Linked DNA regions of Oryctolagus cuniculus. The protein of the gene in region 1 interacts with the protein of each later gene in a pairwise test. Links are inferred from orthologs where the notes say so. Each region holds a gene or a part of one and is shown on either strand. Other genes may lie near its edges.

Evidence for each region.
Region 2: the proteins of CDK4 (region 1) and CDKN2B interact in binary tests that used the Homo sapiens proteins (3 or more experiments, as listed by UniProt). The link is inferred for Oryctolagus cuniculus from reciprocal best matches to the Homo sapiens genes CDK4 and CDKN2B.
Region 3: the proteins of CDK4 (region 1) and CCND2 interact in binary tests that used the Homo sapiens proteins (3 or more experiments, as listed by UniProt). The link is inferred for Oryctolagus cuniculus from reciprocal best matches to the Homo sapiens genes CDK4 and CCND2.

The regions. Positions count from the first base shown.
Region 1 is NC_091442.1:60,320,302-60,326,672, forward strand, and holds CDK4 (cyclin-dependent kinase 4), read right to left. Parts: upstream 4,208-6,371; 5' UTR 4,203-4,207; coding exon 3,955-4,202; intron 3,501-3,954; coding exon 3,264-3,500; intron 3,111-3,263; coding exon 2,975-3,110; intron 2,858-2,974; coding exon 2,690-2,857; intron 2,533-2,689; coding exon 2,423-2,532; intron 2,184-2,422; coding exon 2,133-2,183; intron 1,996-2,132; coding exon 1,860-1,995; intron 1,625-1,859; coding exon 1,532-1,624; 3' UTR 1,254-1,531; downstream 1-1,253. Other genes in the region: TSPAN31 (tetraspanin-31), read left to right, coding at 44-172, 420-533, 629-703.
Region 2 is NC_091432.1:185,072,243-185,076,664, forward strand, and holds the end of CDKN2B (cyclin-dependent kinase 4 inhibitor B), read right to left. Parts: intron 3,512-4,422; coding exon 3,251-3,511; 3' UTR 1,893-3,250; downstream 1-1,892. UniProt on the Homo sapiens protein: Interacts strongly with CDK4 and CDK6. Potent inhibitor. Potential effector of TGF-beta induced cell cycle arrest.
Region 3 is NC_091440.1:105,135,651-105,141,382, forward strand, and holds part of CCND2 (G1/S-specific cyclin-D2), read right to left. Parts: intron 2,752-5,732; coding exon 2,602-2,751; 3' UTR 1-2,601. UniProt on the Homo sapiens protein: Regulatory component of the cyclin D2-CDK4 (DC) complex that phosphorylates and inhibits members of the retinoblastoma (RB) protein family including RB1 and regulates the cell-cycle during G(1)/S transition.

The DNA.
Region 1 (6,371 bases):
TCGATGTAGGGAAGCTGAACTTCCCTCTGCCCTTACCCTCCAGACAGATGTCATCAATGCTTCTTGGTGGGTCATGAGCAACAAAACCCGACATGAACTGGAAAGAAGTTTTGATTGTTGTGGCTTGTTCAACCTCACAACCATGTATCAAGACGATACTTCCTGCAATGCTGTGAGTTGGGGGTAGGCACAGCGGGGAGGAAGCAGGAAACCGGCAGATTTGAATGCCACCGCCCCTCTTTCTAGCAATTCCCTTGTGTCCAGGCACTGCTGGTGGGGGAGGGGAGATTTAGCTAAATGGGCTTCTAGGCTGTAGGATACTGGTCAGATTCTAGTAATTCCTAGGGGTGGCCACCCCAGACATTTGGAGAAGGCAGCTCAGCGTCTCTGCATTCTCCAAACACACGCCTTCTCCTCAGATCTGCAAGAACAGGAGCTCCGCATGCCCCATGTGTGGAGAGAAGCTCCTTAGGCATTCAGATGAAGCCCTGAAAATTCTGGGGGGCGTGGGACTCTTCTTCAGCTTTACTGAGGTACAGTCTCCCGTTCCCTCAAGTACACCCCTTCTCTGCAGGTCTGACCCTCTCAGAACTGAACCGTGCCTTCGTGGCTCCTCTTGTCCCTACAGATCCTTGGTGTCTGGCTAGCGATGAGATTCCGGAATCAGAAGGATCCGCGCGCCAACCCCAGTGCCTTCCTGTGAGACTCTGGCCCCTTCTGCCTGCTCTCCTGCGTTTTCTTTTTCCCTTAGGGAAAATCCAGGGTCTGCTGCCCCTTTTTGTTTGAGAAAAAGGAAGGGCCCTTTGCTACATCCCCTGAGAACAACTCAACAGTGAGGCTTCAGGGCTTGACAGACTTGGGTGCAGCCAGACTGCAGGCTAGAAAGAAAGCTTTCTGTCTGCCCAAGTGGATGCAGGCAGCTCCAGGGAGTGCATGGGGCGGGGCTGTTTCCCCTCTTCACCTTCCCACATGCTGGGCTCTGGAGGTCAATCAGGGGCAGAGCCAAGGAGAAAACCACCAAGAACGCCTAAACAGGACCCAGTTTGAGCCATTTCAGTGAATATAAAAATAAAAGCCATTTCAATTCCACGTTTGTGAGTGCAGGGGCTCTGTGTGGCTGCCCAGGCCCTGGGTCTAACTTCAGGACACTCTTTAAGGGGCTAAGGGAAGTCCCTTCTTCCACATGGTTTCTCCAGATCTCCCAGTGACAAAGCCAATCAGAGAAAGAAACATTAAAAAAAAAAAAGACCTTATTTCTTTGTCTTATTTGTTTTCCTGTATAAAAAAGGACCCCAGTATCAAGGTAGGAAAGGGGGAAAGACGGGGCATACCCCTTAGTGTAGAGAAACAGGGGGCAGGAAGATAGGCCTCGAAAGGAGGGGTGGGAAGGGAATGTCATCAAGGTAGCAAAATATTCTCTGTAAAAAGTCGGAGTCTGCCCGGCCGCAGAGACGAGGCAGAGCGGTTTTCTCTGTGGGGTTCTCGCCACCCTAGTGTCCAGAAGAAGGGCGTGGCTGGCGGTGTCCACGGCTCACTCTGGGCCGCCTTCTTCCTTGTGGAGGTAAGAGTGCTGCAGGGCTCTGCAGGCAGAGATCCGCTTGTGTGGGCTGAAAGTCAGCATTTCCTAGGGGGTAGAGGCCAAGGTCAGAAAACCGTGGAGCACAAAGACTTCTCTCCCTCCCCTGACTGTCCCCAACACGACCTGGGGATGGATTCTCTATGTTGTGTATCCCTCTCTGCACCTGGCCACTCCCAACAGCAATAAGAACTGCTCCTCAACCACCACGGGCTGGGGCCGGACATACTGCCGTCTCTCAGCCCAGTCTCGCCCCATACCCACGCCCCACGCCCGCACGTACCAGCAGCAGCTGCGCTCCGGACTCCTCCAGCTCCGGCACCACCGACTGCACTGGGCGGGGCCCTCTTGGGGAGAAGGCCGCTCGGGGGAGCGACACATCTCGGGGCCAGTCGTCTTCCGGAGGCAGCCCGATCAGGCTAGGGAGACACGAAAGCTCTGTCACAGGGGTCCTTCTCCAGCTCCCGTCCCCAGGCAGAGCCAGTGGGTTAACTCCGAGTTCAGCAGAGAGAGGACTCAGAATGGAAAATTCTCTGCCCCCTGGCTGGTCACTTACTCAAAGATTTTGCCCAGCTGGTCGGCTTCGGAGTTTCCACAGAAGAGAGGCCTAGAGCGAGAAGGAATACAAGGTGGCAGTCACTTTCAGAGACAGCGGTGGCATGAGTCCTGCTTAGTGGGACTTAGAGGGTGTGGGGAATAAAGGCATGTGAAGTCTCTGATTCCGTCTCAGAGCTGGTTACGGGCAAGATGGTGAACAGCACCCAAGTACAAAAATGGCCAAGGCATGCATGTGGCTCCTGCACAAGGCGGGGGACTCAGGTTGTGCAGGGAACTTGGGTCCCATACTTTCGACGAAACATTTCTGCAAAGATACAGCCAGCGCTCCACATGTCCACAGGCGTGGCATATGTAGACTGCAGAAGAACCTCAGGAGCACGGTACCAGAGCGTCACAACCTAAGGGAAACAGCGAGAGTAGGTGAGGGCCCCCAGGGCTTCCGGGAAGCACCAGTGCCTGATGGAAGGACAAAGTATGATTTCTCAGCTGCTATGGGCAATCCTTCTCCTACCCCCAACCAGAGCCCATTTTTGGCTACCACATCTTTCTACTGACCACAGGTGTAAGCGCCATCTGGTAGCTGTAGATTCTAGCCAGGCCGAAGTCAGCCAGCTTGACCGTCCCGCTGCTCGTCACCAGAATATTCTCTGGCTTCAGGTCTCGGTGGACGATGCAATTGGCATGAAGGAAATCCAGGCCTCTAAGAAACTGGCGCATCAGATCCTGATTTGCAAGGGAAAAAAAACAGACACACAAGAAACCAGGCATTAGGCCTGAAATGCCCAGGGCTTCTGCTAGAAGGTCCCAACCCACCTCCCCGTGTCCGCCCCCGCCCTTTACCTTGATGGTCTCTGCCGGCAGGCCTGGTGGGGGTGCCTTGTCCAGATACGTCCTTAGGTCTTGGTCGACGTGCTCAAACACCAGGGTCACCTTGATTTCCCGGTCGGTTCGGGAGGTGGCACAGACGTCCATCAGCCTGGCCAGAACAAATGGTCCCTCGCTAGCTAGGATCCTCTGACTCCCCTATGGCCTCCTCATCGTGTACCTCCCCAGGATCCCCACCTCTCTCCTGACCACCACAGCCCCCCTGCCTGGACTGCCCACTCCGGGCCCTGCACCTTCCTCTCACCGGACAACATTGGGGTGCTCAAAGGCCTCCAGCCGCCTGAGTAAAGCCACCTCGCGAACAGTGCTGATGGGAAGGCCCCCTCCAGCGCCTCCTCCATTGGGGACTCGCACGCTCTTGAGGGCCACAAAGTGGCCACTGTGGGGGTCCCGGGCCTTGTACACCGTCCCGTAGGCACCGACACCAATTTCAGCTACAGGCTCGTAGCGAGAGGTAGCCATTCTCAGATCAGGGTTGACCCTAGGAACACAGAGATTCCCTGCACCACATGCTCTCCCAGAGCTGGGATGGCCTGAGCTGGCAGCGGACAAAGTGATTCCGACACGGATGGCACAGACGGCCCCACCTGCACCCCGCGCCCTCCGCGACCGCCCGCCGCGCCGCGCCTCAGGTAACAATGACTCCAACAGCGACCCCTCCAGCCACGTGAGGCCGCACACTTTGTAAAAGCCCCCTTTCCTTTGGGAACATCGCATCCAGCACAAAGGAGATCACACACATACACACGCCTGGCGCCGAGGATCCCGCACCCCGGTCCCCGAAATTACACCTTCCCACGTCCACAAAAGCCCCACTTCTCGCCCGCGGGCGACCCTCCCATAAATCGCCTGCGAAGCGCACGCATGGGAAGCGGCTGTGGGGGGAGGGGGCGGCGGCGGGACTGGCCCCCAGTGGGGGCAGGGGCTGCACTTACCTCACTCCAGGCTGGGAGGTGCAGGGGCGGCCCGTTATCGGGGCCCCGGAGCTGGTTCCTCCAGCGCCATACACCCGAGCTCGGTCCTGGGCACCTGGACGCTCCGGGCCCGACCATAGACATAGGCCGCAGGCTAGAGAGGCCCCCTCACCCCCACCCTCACCATGTGACCAGCTGCCAAAGAGGCGCGCGGAAACTGGGAGGGCGGGGCGGGCGCCGGACGTTCGGGACACGTGACCGCCACCCATGCGCAGAGGGGCGGCCGAGCTGGGCTTGGACGGGGAGGGGGGCCCTGAGGGGAAAGGGGGCGGAGGGGGGATGCCAGCCACGTGACCTGTTGCTATCACACGTGACCGCTTGACATTGCTCTGAGGAGCAGAGGTGTGGTTACGCGGCGGGGCACGTGACTGGCTGCCATAACCTCAGCGCCAGGGAGGTGGGGTGGGAGAGGGGGAACGGGAGAGGGTGGAGTCCGAGGCGGTGCCATGGCAACCTGGGCCACCCGGCTCCCGACTCCACGCTGAGGGCAGAGCACCCGAGCTCCTGGCCGGCTGCTGGCCTCGCAGCCTCTCCACGCTGGCGGGAGGTGGGGGCAGGGGCGTCGGCGGTGGCAGGTGGGGCTGTCACCTTACGGCTCCGCGGCCGTGGGAAAACAATCGGATTTGTGTCTTTGTTTCACTCATTCATTCAACAAAATTGCATTGAGCGCTTGCTTGCAGTGTGTGTGTGGGGTTTTGTTTTGGTGTCTGCGTCACTGGCTCTTAGGAGTAGTGGTAAGGCTGTATATAAAATGTGGTCCTATAGGGAGTAGACAATGCCCATCTGAGGGCAGACTGGAATTAGAAGAGGGGTGGAAGGCAGGTTAATAGAGTAATCCAACAGGAATTGTGGCAAGGTAGTGCTTGCCTCTCTTCCCGGTCCGGGCTGCTTCCAGCCCTCTCTGGGAGTGTTACAATAGACTGGGTGCTGTCAGGCAGAGAAGTTATTGATGAGCAGGAGGCAGGAATATCGGCTTTGATCTTGAAGGTTCTTTTCAGCGTTGAGTTTACAAATCTGTGATATGTGGATGCGTGTGTGTGTGTGTGTGTGTGTGCTATGTGATATGTGTGTCCTTTGTCCTCAGATGAATAGGTAGAGGGATCACCATAACCATCACCAACATCCCAGGCCACTGCTATACACGAGATTGACTTCTGGCCTCCTGCCAACCTTGTAACTCACTCGGGGGCCTTGTGCTTTCTTTTCCCCAGACACCACCTTCTTAGCGCTCATCACCGCCCTGAACACAGCCTTTCCCAAATAGCCTCTGCCTACAGACACCTAGACACAGGTAGATTTCTTATCTTATTGGCTCCAACTTCTTTATCTCCCAGCTCTTTGAGGACATGGGAGTAAAGAGATTGAGCATCTTGTCTGTGAGAAATTGTCTAAAATCTGTAAGCATTTTATTACCCTATTTGCCACTCCTTGCACCCTAAGTTCTGTTCTCAACTCTGGTGGTCATGTAAGAGTTCCGACCTGAAGATGAGTTCACATGAGTCAGGGCAAGATGGAAGTATGTCAGTGCCCATTCCACTTCGGATACTTGCGACGCTTGGGCCCTGGCTACAAGGGCAGCTGGGACACCAGTAAGGAAAACTTCAAGATCCGAACGAAGAGGCTGGAGAGGTGAAGGTTTCAATGGCTACCAAGCAGGGGCTGGTTGGTCTGTGAGCCTTCCAGAGCCTGGGCTAAGTGGGAGTTTGTCGAGCTCTCTTGCCCATCAGCAGTCCTCACTTCGCCTCCATCTTCCACGGAAGCCCTCTGCGGGTCACTGGGCTGCGAACACAGCCATCTTTCCTGTATGGGCACTTGGGTCCCAGCACCTTTTCCTGGTTCATCCATTTGTCCATCCAAAACATTTGAATTCTTCCCAAGATCACGACTGTCTAGCACTTCCTATTGGGGAGTCTTAATTTGGCGGTCTGTCCCTGGCTCCATCCCCTCCCTTCTCCTGTTAATTACTCTTTGACTAATTAATCCTCTCCCAGTGTGTTTGACCCAGTGGGCTCCCCTGAAATCCCTTTTCCCTCAGCTTTGCAAAGGGGAGGAGATGGAGAAAGGACATAAGTGCAAGGCAGAAAAAACACGTGTGGATTGATTCGCAGGGCCAAGGCTCCCACAAAAACAAAGGGCTAACCGGGAGAGCTTCCCGGTAGTAGGGGTGAGGGCAGGAGACTAGCAGGCAAGAAGAGACTCCCATCCCTTTAGCACTCCCACCTCCCTGGCTCACTCACCCCCTCACACATCACCATCCAACTGCTTCTCACAGGCAGTTCTGTCAGCTTCCACTCCTGATAGACTCGCCTCTCTTGCACAGCACCACACCGGCTCACACCAAGCACACTTGCCAGCCTTTTGTGTGCAAGTGTTTACTG
Region 2 (4,422 bases), on another chromosome or scaffold:
AATCTTAGCTATTACTGGTAATGGTACATTACCTTTTCTCCACTATGTACTTAAAATACTTGAAAATCCCACACTAGAAACAATTATGTGAGAGATGCAGGATTGTAGCTTCAGAAAGTATGCATTGAGCTGTCTGAACTATGCTCAAATTCTTTCTCTTCTAATGTTCTGCAAATGTGACATGCTTGCGAAAGCGTTTTTAAAATGCAATTAAAAAGCCTCACATGAAGAATGATTTGGATCTGTGTAATAATATTACTCCTTAGCAGCCTGCATTTTGATATTAGAAAAAATCAAAATGAAATTCCTCATCACTAACTTTCCCAGAAATAAACCACTTTACATTTCTAATGTGACTTTTATAATTTTTTAAAAAATAATTCTTTGATGAAAACAGTATCTCAAAGAAACAGAGGCAAATTAGCCTTTGCATATAAGTAATTTATCATTCTCTCTTTAAACTTGATCTTCTATAAGTAACCATGGATATTTATATCATTTTTTTCCTTTGAAGCCAAATAATAATGTGAAATGTTTCTTTTTATGGTTATTTTTATATCTATTAAGTCTGTGTCCCAGACACTGTGTTAGGCACAGGTGCTACAAAACCAGCAAAATTTAGTTTTGGCCATGGATGAGTTTACAGTATCACAGGAAAGAAAGACAATCAGCCATCCTTATATGCTGGAGGAACATGTAGGGAATCATAGAGGAGGGGTACTTAGATTACTGTCAGTATGTAATTTAGGTTAGTTATTCAGTCAACAAATGCTCAGGTTATTGAAAGATTTTCTTGAAAATGTATTGCTTGAGCAATATACAGAAAAGATGACCCTCCCGATCATGTAATCATGTGGGAGTAAAGGGACCAAGAGAAAACTTTCAGCCAGGGCATGGGGGAAGACTATAGCATGCTCAGGAGGCCTCAAAACACATTAGAATTGGCTAGATGTAGGCTAGTGTATATATGAGAAGGGCCACTGCTGTGTTTTAAATGTGCTGCCCGAAAAGTATATGTTGGAAACAGTCCCCAGTGCAACAGCATTGGGAGCTGGGGCCCGATGGGAGGTGTTTAGGTCATGAGGGCTCCACCCTCTTGAACCTGGCACCAGCTGTGAAAAGGCTTGAGGCCTGGAGATTGTCTCTCTGCATCCTGGCCCTCTGATGCCTTCCCCCATGTTAGGATCCTCCAGCGAGGTCCCCAATAGATGTAGCCTCTGGACTTGCCAGCCTCCAGAAAAATGATTTTTGCCCACAAAACAGAACACCTCACAAATACCTTCTACTGTTTACTAAATGAACTCCACATCTTGGGAACCAGAGAGTCTAACTTTGCATATCCAGGAATGAGTATTCTGTTACCTCTGGCAAGTTGTTGGGTATTTCTCTGCCTTTTTGTCCTCATCTGGGAAACAATACCTATCTCACAGGTTTAACTGTTACATGGAGAAGTGTATTTTGAAGCATGCTTAGTATAAATTATATGTTAATAAACATCTTTCCCCCAGTAAGACATAGTCTGGTCTTCGTTCAACTAACTTGTCCCAATAATATATCAGTTTGGGGTAATGAGTAATTGATGGGGAAGTAAAGATTTTTGTATTCAGCTCAAAGGTAATCCTTTTTATAAATCTACTCTCAAATTAGTTTGTTGTTTCCTTTTCTCTCTTTATATGTACATATAGTATGCTGGACATTTAGAAGCATAAGACATGCATAAATCTTACATTTAACTTTCCGAGGTATGTGTAGCCAGTTTTTATAAATTACTGTTGGAATCACTTACCAATAATGATTACAAAGGGTGAGAGAAGTGAGCTCCTCAGGTCTTTGTACATTCTCAGTAGTGGCAAATCCATGTAAACACATTTCTTAGTCAAATCACTCATATCTTTGAGTTCAATCTCTGTTGTTTATTCTTTATTAAAACAGTGAATTAACCATTGTTCCAATGCTATAGCGAGCCAAGGAACAATGGCAATGAAATCTCAAGGGAGTGCACCATTAGTTTGTTCAGCAGATATTAAGAAACCCCAGGAGCTACCAACAGAACATTTCAGCAGTTTTAGACACCATCTACTTTTTCAACAACCTTTTGGGAAATATTCCAAGATAATTTCCTGGACAAGGACATCTATCTCTCAAAGACCTTTGGAATAGTTCATAGTTTGACCCCCTGAGACACTCTTCATAAAGGAATAAAGGAAACGATCAACATTTTCACAAGGAAATAAATAGGTTAAGAATGAAAGCAATCTAAGCAGTAGCACCGGGAGTTTGACATGCTGCCATAACTTCATTTTAGAGTTGGAGTTCTTCCTCACCTCCGCCGACATGTTCTTTAAAGTATCCGCATTAAATGAGGCAGTTACAGAAGAACAATGCAAAAGTGGAAAACATCACGGAACCTTTCCAAGAGGCGATTCACAGGGAAGTCTGTAGGCTGAGAAACGCGGAAGCAGCAAGTCGTTACAGCACCCGCTGCAGTTAACGCTCACTGCGGTCGGCCCGCGGTTTGCTGTGCTCTGCCTCGGAACGCCATGAGAGTCCCGCCCTCCACGGGCGAAGCGCAGGAGCCAGCACCTTTTCAAAAACTCGCTCCTCTGCGTCGTGGGGAGCCGAGCCAGGGGTTTCAGAATTTGGGGGCTAGTCTGCTGTCGCTCCCGTCCTTTATCTGGACTTGGAGAGAATTTTGCTCTGCTGGTGGCGCGCCTTGCACCGCATCACCCAAGGTAGGCTGGGCACTTCGTGAAGCCAACCTCGACCCCTGTGTGGCCCGCGTTCTGCAGCCTCCAGGCCCTGACGTCCGAAGCTGGAGCTCCACCGAGGTCAGTGGGGGCCTGCGGGACATCCGCCCCCTCCGAATCGCCAAATGCTGCCCCCTTCCTCCAGCCCCCAGGATCAGCTGTGTGGAGAACTCCAGGCTCCTGGGGTCGCTCCAGGAAGTCACGTGCACTTTCCGGCAGAGAGTCCCGCAAAGCAGACGACCCCTGCAGCGTCACCAGCTCCTAAATCGGGCAGGAAGCCCACCTGCGCCAGCTGTCCGCGTCTGGCTTCCAGGTGAGTGCCGAGGGTCGGATCCAGAGTTTACAAACGCGTTTGATCTCCTCCTCCTCCTGGGGCTTGAGCCGCTCCGGAAAGTTCGCGGGCTTAGTGCCGCTCCACGTTTGCAGCCCTCTTTGAAAGCGGGAAGGGATGGGGGACTGGCGAGGGAGAACCCTTGGTCGTGGGCGGCCGCCCGCCGCCGCCCTCAGTCCCCCGCGGCGGCGCGCAGGTACCGAGCGACGTCGCGGTGGCCCCGCTCCTCAGCCAGGTCCACGGGCAGGCGGCCCCCGGCGTCGCGCACGTCCAGCCGCGCCCCGGCCCGGTGCAGCGCCACCAGCGTGTCCAAGAAGCCCTCCCGGGCGGCGTCGTGCACCGGTCGGCTGAGGGTGGCGGGGTCGGCGCAGTTGGGCTCGGCGCCGTGGAGCAGCAGCAGCTCGGCCACGCGGGCGCTGCCCATCATCATGACCTGCGCGAGAGGGAAGAGCGGTCAGGGCGAGGGTGCCGGCGGGGCGGCTAGGCCGCTGCCAGGAGACACGCACTTACACCTGGATCAAAAGCAAGGGTGCGACCAGCCCCAGGGGTCGGCTTCCTCCTCTTATGCTACGCAGGTCACCCACCTCCTCCCAGTCTTATTCAGATTAAATTAAATTCCATCTTACTCTCCAGACGTGAGAGCACGCGGCAAAATAATAATATCTACACTGAGGGCAAAATCAATGATCGATTTCTACTGCAACATGAGAATCTAGCTGGTTAAGTGATTTATGAGCAGAATTAAACTTGAATGCCTTATAAAGTTTTATTCTCCTTGTTGCCCATGCACCATAATCTAGGTTTAAAAATATTTGTTAGGTAGTCACCTGTTTTGTGTGTGTGTGTGGGGGGGAGGTTGGAGTAATGTTTTAGGGGAGAAAATAAGAAACAACGTAATTCTCTTGTAAGAGGCTCCTGTTTTTTCTGTCACATGTGTCTGCTCATAAACCAAATGTAATCTGATAATCCGAGACAAACTTGGAGATTAGAGGACAAAGTAAAACAAGTCAGGCATACTCTATAAAACGACGAAAACAAATGACTTATCTTGAATTAATGGTTCACAGCTTTTCACCTTTTAAGTTAATGTTATAGAGGCAGACTAAAATTTAGAGTGTAATATAAATATAACTGTAAAATTAACATACATATTTACCTCCTACATGATTTTACATTAGATAGTAAATGTTTTGCTGTATAGTTTGTACATTATCAGTGAAATCAGAAATGATGCATAACTAAAAATGTTTCAGAGGAATAAGCCTATAGCATTCATTCATCTGTATATATATGTGCATTATGTAAGCATTTGCTTTCATATTTTTGTTAACAATAAACAATTTT
Region 3 (5,732 bases), on another chromosome or scaffold:
CACCAGGACTCCCCGAGAACCCCAGGGACCGGGCCTTCCCCGCGCCGCGCCGCGCCGCACAGCGCAGGCTCTGGGTGAACACTGGCTGCTCCATTTTCTGCTCCCGAACCTCAGGATGCGCCAGCCATGCCCCACCAGCGCCCCCCAACCCCCGAGAATCTCAGGGTCAAGCTAGCTCAGCGAGTCCCAACCCCCTGCCATCACACTTCCTGCAGCCTCTCAGCCACCTCCCTACACTCACCTACCCCGTCTGTTCTTTGTGCCAACTCCATCATGTGATTTTGAACCCCGGAATCTCGCGGTCCAGCCTCGCCGAGGACCTGGCTGGCCTACTGCTTGCCTCACCCCGGTCTGAGCACCACACACGCTGCAAGCTGCAGGCCTAAGACCTGGGACAGCTGCAGAGATGACGGGGGAGGGGGTGGGGGTCTGTGCACAGGAGCGAGACAGAGGGGAGACGGCCGCCCGCGAGCCCCGCGCCTGCTGCAATGCCCTCCCGCTTCCTTCCTGACGCCTACAACTCCCGCGCCCATGCCGCTGGGTCCAAGCTTGAGTTCAAGGTCTGCCTTGGGGGGGGGGGGGGTCTCTTGGTTCAATGCATTGTTTTTCCATCATGAGGAGGATACCGGAGTCAGAAAGGGAGCCCGATGGCCTGTGAGCAAGGGCAGGCCCCTGGGTGCGGGGCCTGGCGAGTCCTCCTCCCCACCCGACCTCGCCTCGCCCTCCTGGGGACTTGCTCCCAAAGCAGAAAGTGTTCGGCTGTGAGGTAAGAAAGTCGTTGTCTTTTGTAGTTATTGATTTTGTCCAGTAAACCTGAGGTAAAGAATGCACTGTCTTTGAAGAATGTGATCAGAGGAAAAAAAAAAAAAAAAGAAAGAAAGAAACAAAACCCACTAACCATGAATATGCTACCGGAAGGAACAAAGGATGGGAGGGCTTTTCCAGTACGAAGAACTCATATCTTAACCATCTACTTCAGGACTTGGAACTTAAGCAGTAAAATAATATATTATAAAAATGTTTATAAAATAGCAGCACACTTGGTGAAACATTACAGCTAGGTACTGTTAATGTGAGTAAGGATGAACGATCTCAGCTTCTTAGCAGCGCAAAAAAAATAATAAAAAACTGAACAAAATAAAATGAAAATAAGAGACCCTTAGATTTTTCTCCATCTTCAACCCTCACACTACGAAACAAGGCAGAATCTGTGTATAAAATAATTCTTCAAGGTAGCCCTGTTCTGATTTTTTTTTTTACTTAAAAAAAGCAAATATTGTAACAAATAGCTTCATTACCTGTCAATGACAATTGTGCAAAAAAAAAAAAAAAAGTTGTCGCTCCAACCTCTCTGCTAACTGAATGCCTCGAAGAAGTGGAGAGGAAACAGAAAATTCAAGTACGCTGAATACGACTTTGCAGTGAAACTAAGGGAGCCGCACGCCACACCCGAGGTCCAGCCGTCCGCGAGGACGCCTGCCCTCCCCGTCGAGAGAAGCTGGAGCTGCGGAGGAGCCCTCCGCGCCATCCACGTGCTAACAGGGCTTTGTTCAGACTTTTCCGAGGAATGTCGTGATGGGAATGCCAGCGGAAAGGGTGGGTACCGGAGAACTCAAGACTGGGGGCAGGATGGGGAGGGGCCAGAGAGAAGAGGGGAGGAGTCAGCTTGATTTGCATAAACCATCCCATCTACCCCTCGGGAACAAATTTTCAAAGTGCTTTAAGAATGGAATGGTTTATAACAATGCTCAACTGTGGACCAGACATGCCAATCAGCACCAAAAGATCAGTTTTTTCCTAATACGGGATGCCACGGTCGCTGTACCCTCTCTCAAACAGCAGGAGAAAAGATCCCATTCCAGATCCCACCCTCTGTTTCCATGTCCCAAAGAGTTTTGGTTAGGGCCCGATAGCTGCATTTCTCTCCCAGATGATACGGCGGAGTCTGGGATGAGCCACGTGTGGAAGGAGAAGTGCCGAGTGTGGCAAGAGAGGTGGGGTTACCACCCAGCACCCCCTGTCCAACCAGCCACGTGCTGCCACAGCTGGTGGAGACTGGAGGCACTTCTCCATCCAACGTGGTTCAATCACAGCAAGTTTTTTTTGGTACTCCCTCCCCATCATGCCCCCCCTCCTTATTTCGAATTCCTTGTTGAGTTCATTGCTTGGCAATCTAATCATTCCATAAATGGCCTACACAGTTCCTTGAAATGCCACTACAAAAAGGGGTGTGTATGCACTAGTTCATAACATGACAAAGAGTCTCTTCTAATTGGTTCCCATATTGCAGGCGTACATATTGTCTAGCTACTCTGCAGGGTTTCCGGTAAGCATTTTACTATCACTTTTAACATAATCAAACAACAACTGTTCGCATATACAGGGGATTCCCTTATGTTGTACTTTGAATAGGCACCACACGCTTTTAATTATTGTTTGGATAGGACCTTTTTCTCTCACTTCTAACAGATCTTTAAATATGATCTACGTGGGGGCAGATTTTTTTTTTAAGTTTCATCCTAAAACACAAAGAACAAAACATAACCAGAGAGGAGAGTGCAGATGACGACACGCCTCTCTCGCTCGGCCCGCCTGGCATCCTCACAGGTCGATGTCCCGCACGTCTGTAGGGGTGCTGGCTTGGTCCAGTTCATCCTCCGACTTGGATCCGTCGCGCTGCTCCTGACGGAACTGCTGCAGGCTGTTGAGCAGCACGGCCTCGATCTGCTCCTGGCAGGCTTTGAGACAATCCTAGAAAGACAGCGGGCCAGACCAGAGCCGTCAGTGAGAAGATCAGGACACAGAGCGTCGGGCTTGGGCTTACTTCTTTAAAAAGCAGAGCAAGAGGGAGAGAGATCCATCTCCCACCCACTGGTTCACTCCCCAAATGCTTCCGGCAGCTGGGGCTGGGCCAGGCTGCAGCCAGGAGCCTGGAACTCAGTCTGGGTCTCCCGCGTGGGGGGTAGGGGCCCAAGTACTTGAGCCACATCACCTGCTGCATCCCAGGGTGCAGGAAGCTAGAAGTGGACGTACAGTCAGGACTCAAACCCCACACTCCGACTTGGAACGTGAGCGTCCTAGCGGCTGTGCCAAATGCACACCCCCACGGTTCCACGACTGTTTTCCAGGTGAAATACCCACTCAATGTGAAGTGATGGAGAGGGGCCCCCAGGGCAGCCCCTGGCTGGCAGCCTCAGCGTCACCTGGGAGCCTGTCACAGCTGCTCCATTTATGGCCGTGATCAAGGGGCCAACTGGATCCAGCCTGTGCTGCTGGGAGGTGGCAGTCAACAGAGAGGCCACCAGCAGAGCTACAGTAAAGCGAACCTCAAAACGTCCCTGAGAAAAATGGTACTAAAAGGTAAGTTTACCTGGGGCAAAAAATCTGCAAATCCACACATACAAGGGAGTCCTGAAAAAGCTCATGGAACATATGAACGATGAAACTATGTACATACGGATCCTAGAATCTCTTTGCCCCAAGATAAACTTAGGCTTGAATTCCATGTTCCCATGAACTTTTTGTAGTGCCTGACTTTCCCAGCACCTGGAGCACCCATGAGAAAGAAGACAGAGAAGGAGACCATGCTGACCCTCACATACCCTGGTGCTTAGAAACAAAACACAAACAAAAATCCCGACGGTCTGCCTATTTACCATTCCTGTACTTCTCATAAAAATACAATACAGAATGTTTACCAAACATTCTGGACGCCTGGGCTGTCCAACTGGGGAATAAGGAAGAAGCTGCAGCATTGCTTTTATTAGTCTATATTTGGTAGGGAAACTGTGGAGTGTGCCTGCCTCAGGCAGAAGTGTCTCGCAGCTGGGTGGCATGGAATGCACCCGCTGTCACGGCTGTCACCGGGAAGGACCACAGCTCACACCAGGCAGCGGGAGGCAAGCTGAGGAGCCCTCCCTCTCCCAGCCCCTCTGCTCTGCAAAGCTGCCTCTCTGCACCTGCTCAGGCAGCACATGTGGATGGGGAATTCGGAAACGGAATCTCCCAGTGCTTTCCCACAGCAAGAAGCCCTTCCTCATTTTCACCACCGACAGGTTACCACTTTGCCAAGCACAAAAGCATCATCGCCGTTCCCTTCCGACTGCTTTTAAGGAAAATTAAGATGACGAGCGACGGCAGACTACGAATGTCCCTGGAGTGCCAAGATGATGGAAAGATGGAGGTGGTGTGTGCGCTCATGCACCGTCTTTGTGGGCAGCAGCTCCGTTCTTTAACGTCTGATCTCAGTTTCCCCGTTTTTAAAACGATAATGAAACAAATAAAGAACAACTGAGAGAGCACAGCGTGCTAACTAGTCACTCCCTGGAATGTGAAAGAATTCTTTAGATCTCTTTCAAAAGACATAGGGAGTAGCACTGACCCCCGAAGGGTGGAGGGAGGAGCGCTGTGTGTCTGGTGCTGGGGACAGGAACTAGACAGACCCAGCCCAGCGGTCGAGGTCTCATACCACCCTGGACAGAGCGAAGAGGAAGTCAACCTCTCAGACCGCTGCCATCTGCCCAGACTCTAGCCTGCTGAGCGCTGCCCGTCACAGGTGGTCAGACACGTGCAGGGTCTCGCCCACCCCCGGGCGTGGCTGTTCCCCACCTGCCTCCAAGGCCCACCCCACAGGCGCGGCTGGGCACACAGCTCATCACTGGCTCAGTGGGAAAAGCAGAAGGTGTCCTTTCTAGGGGCGCTAGCGTTTCAGTAGACAAGATTTCAAAACCTTAAGGCTGGGCAGGTGTCTTGGTGCTGTGGGTTCGGTTGCCACTTGGGACGCCAGCATCCTGCATCAGAGCAGCCTGGAAGCTTTCGCTCCCTAGAGAAAACAGCAGGCTTCTCAGCTGATGGAGAGACTGTGTGTGTGTGTGTCGGGGGTGGAGTGGAACAGATGATGGCTCTGCACGGTTCAGTTCAAAAAGAACTGCCCATCAAGGGTCAGGAGGAGGAGGGTTCAAAGGGGGCCTCGTGGGGAGAGGCTGGGTGCAGCCGTACAGATGCTGTTTGGGACGCTTGCATCTTGAGTTCCAGTCCTGGCTCCACTGCCAATCCCAGCCTCTTGCTAATACGTATCCTAGAAGGCAGCAGAGGGTGGCCATAGAACTTGGGTCTCCGCCACCCTCATGGGACATCTGCACGGAGCTCCTGACCCCTGGTTTTGGTCAGGCCCATCCCCGGCAGTTGTGGGAATTTGGAGTGAACCAGCACTGGGAGATCTCTGCGTCTCTGCCTTTCAAAGAAGTTAAATAAATTTTAAAAATTTAATTTAAAAGCGGGCCTTGGGCCAGTGCCGTGGCTCACTTGGTCAATCCTCCGCCTGTGGCACCGGAATCCCATATGGGCACCGGGTTCTAGTCCCGGTTGCTCTTCTTCCAGTCCAGCTCTCTGCTGTGGCCCAGGAAGGCAGTGGAGGATGGCCCAAGTCCTTGGGCCCTGCACTCATATGGGAGACCAGGAGGAAGCACCTGGCTCCCGCCTTCAGATCGGTGCAGCGCCGGCCATAGCGGCCATTTGGGGAGTGTACGCCTTTACTCAGAAGACCTTTCTCTCAGTCTCTCTCTCTCACTATGTATAACTACCTGTCAAATAAAAAAAAAAAAAAAAAAAGTGGGCCTCCGATGGTATAACCTCTTGGTGAATACGTCCTAAGACACAGTTGGTGTGGAAGACCCTGCTGCCCAACAAGACACAGGGGCCTACTTGCACATCCTGCTGGCTGTCTTCTCCTC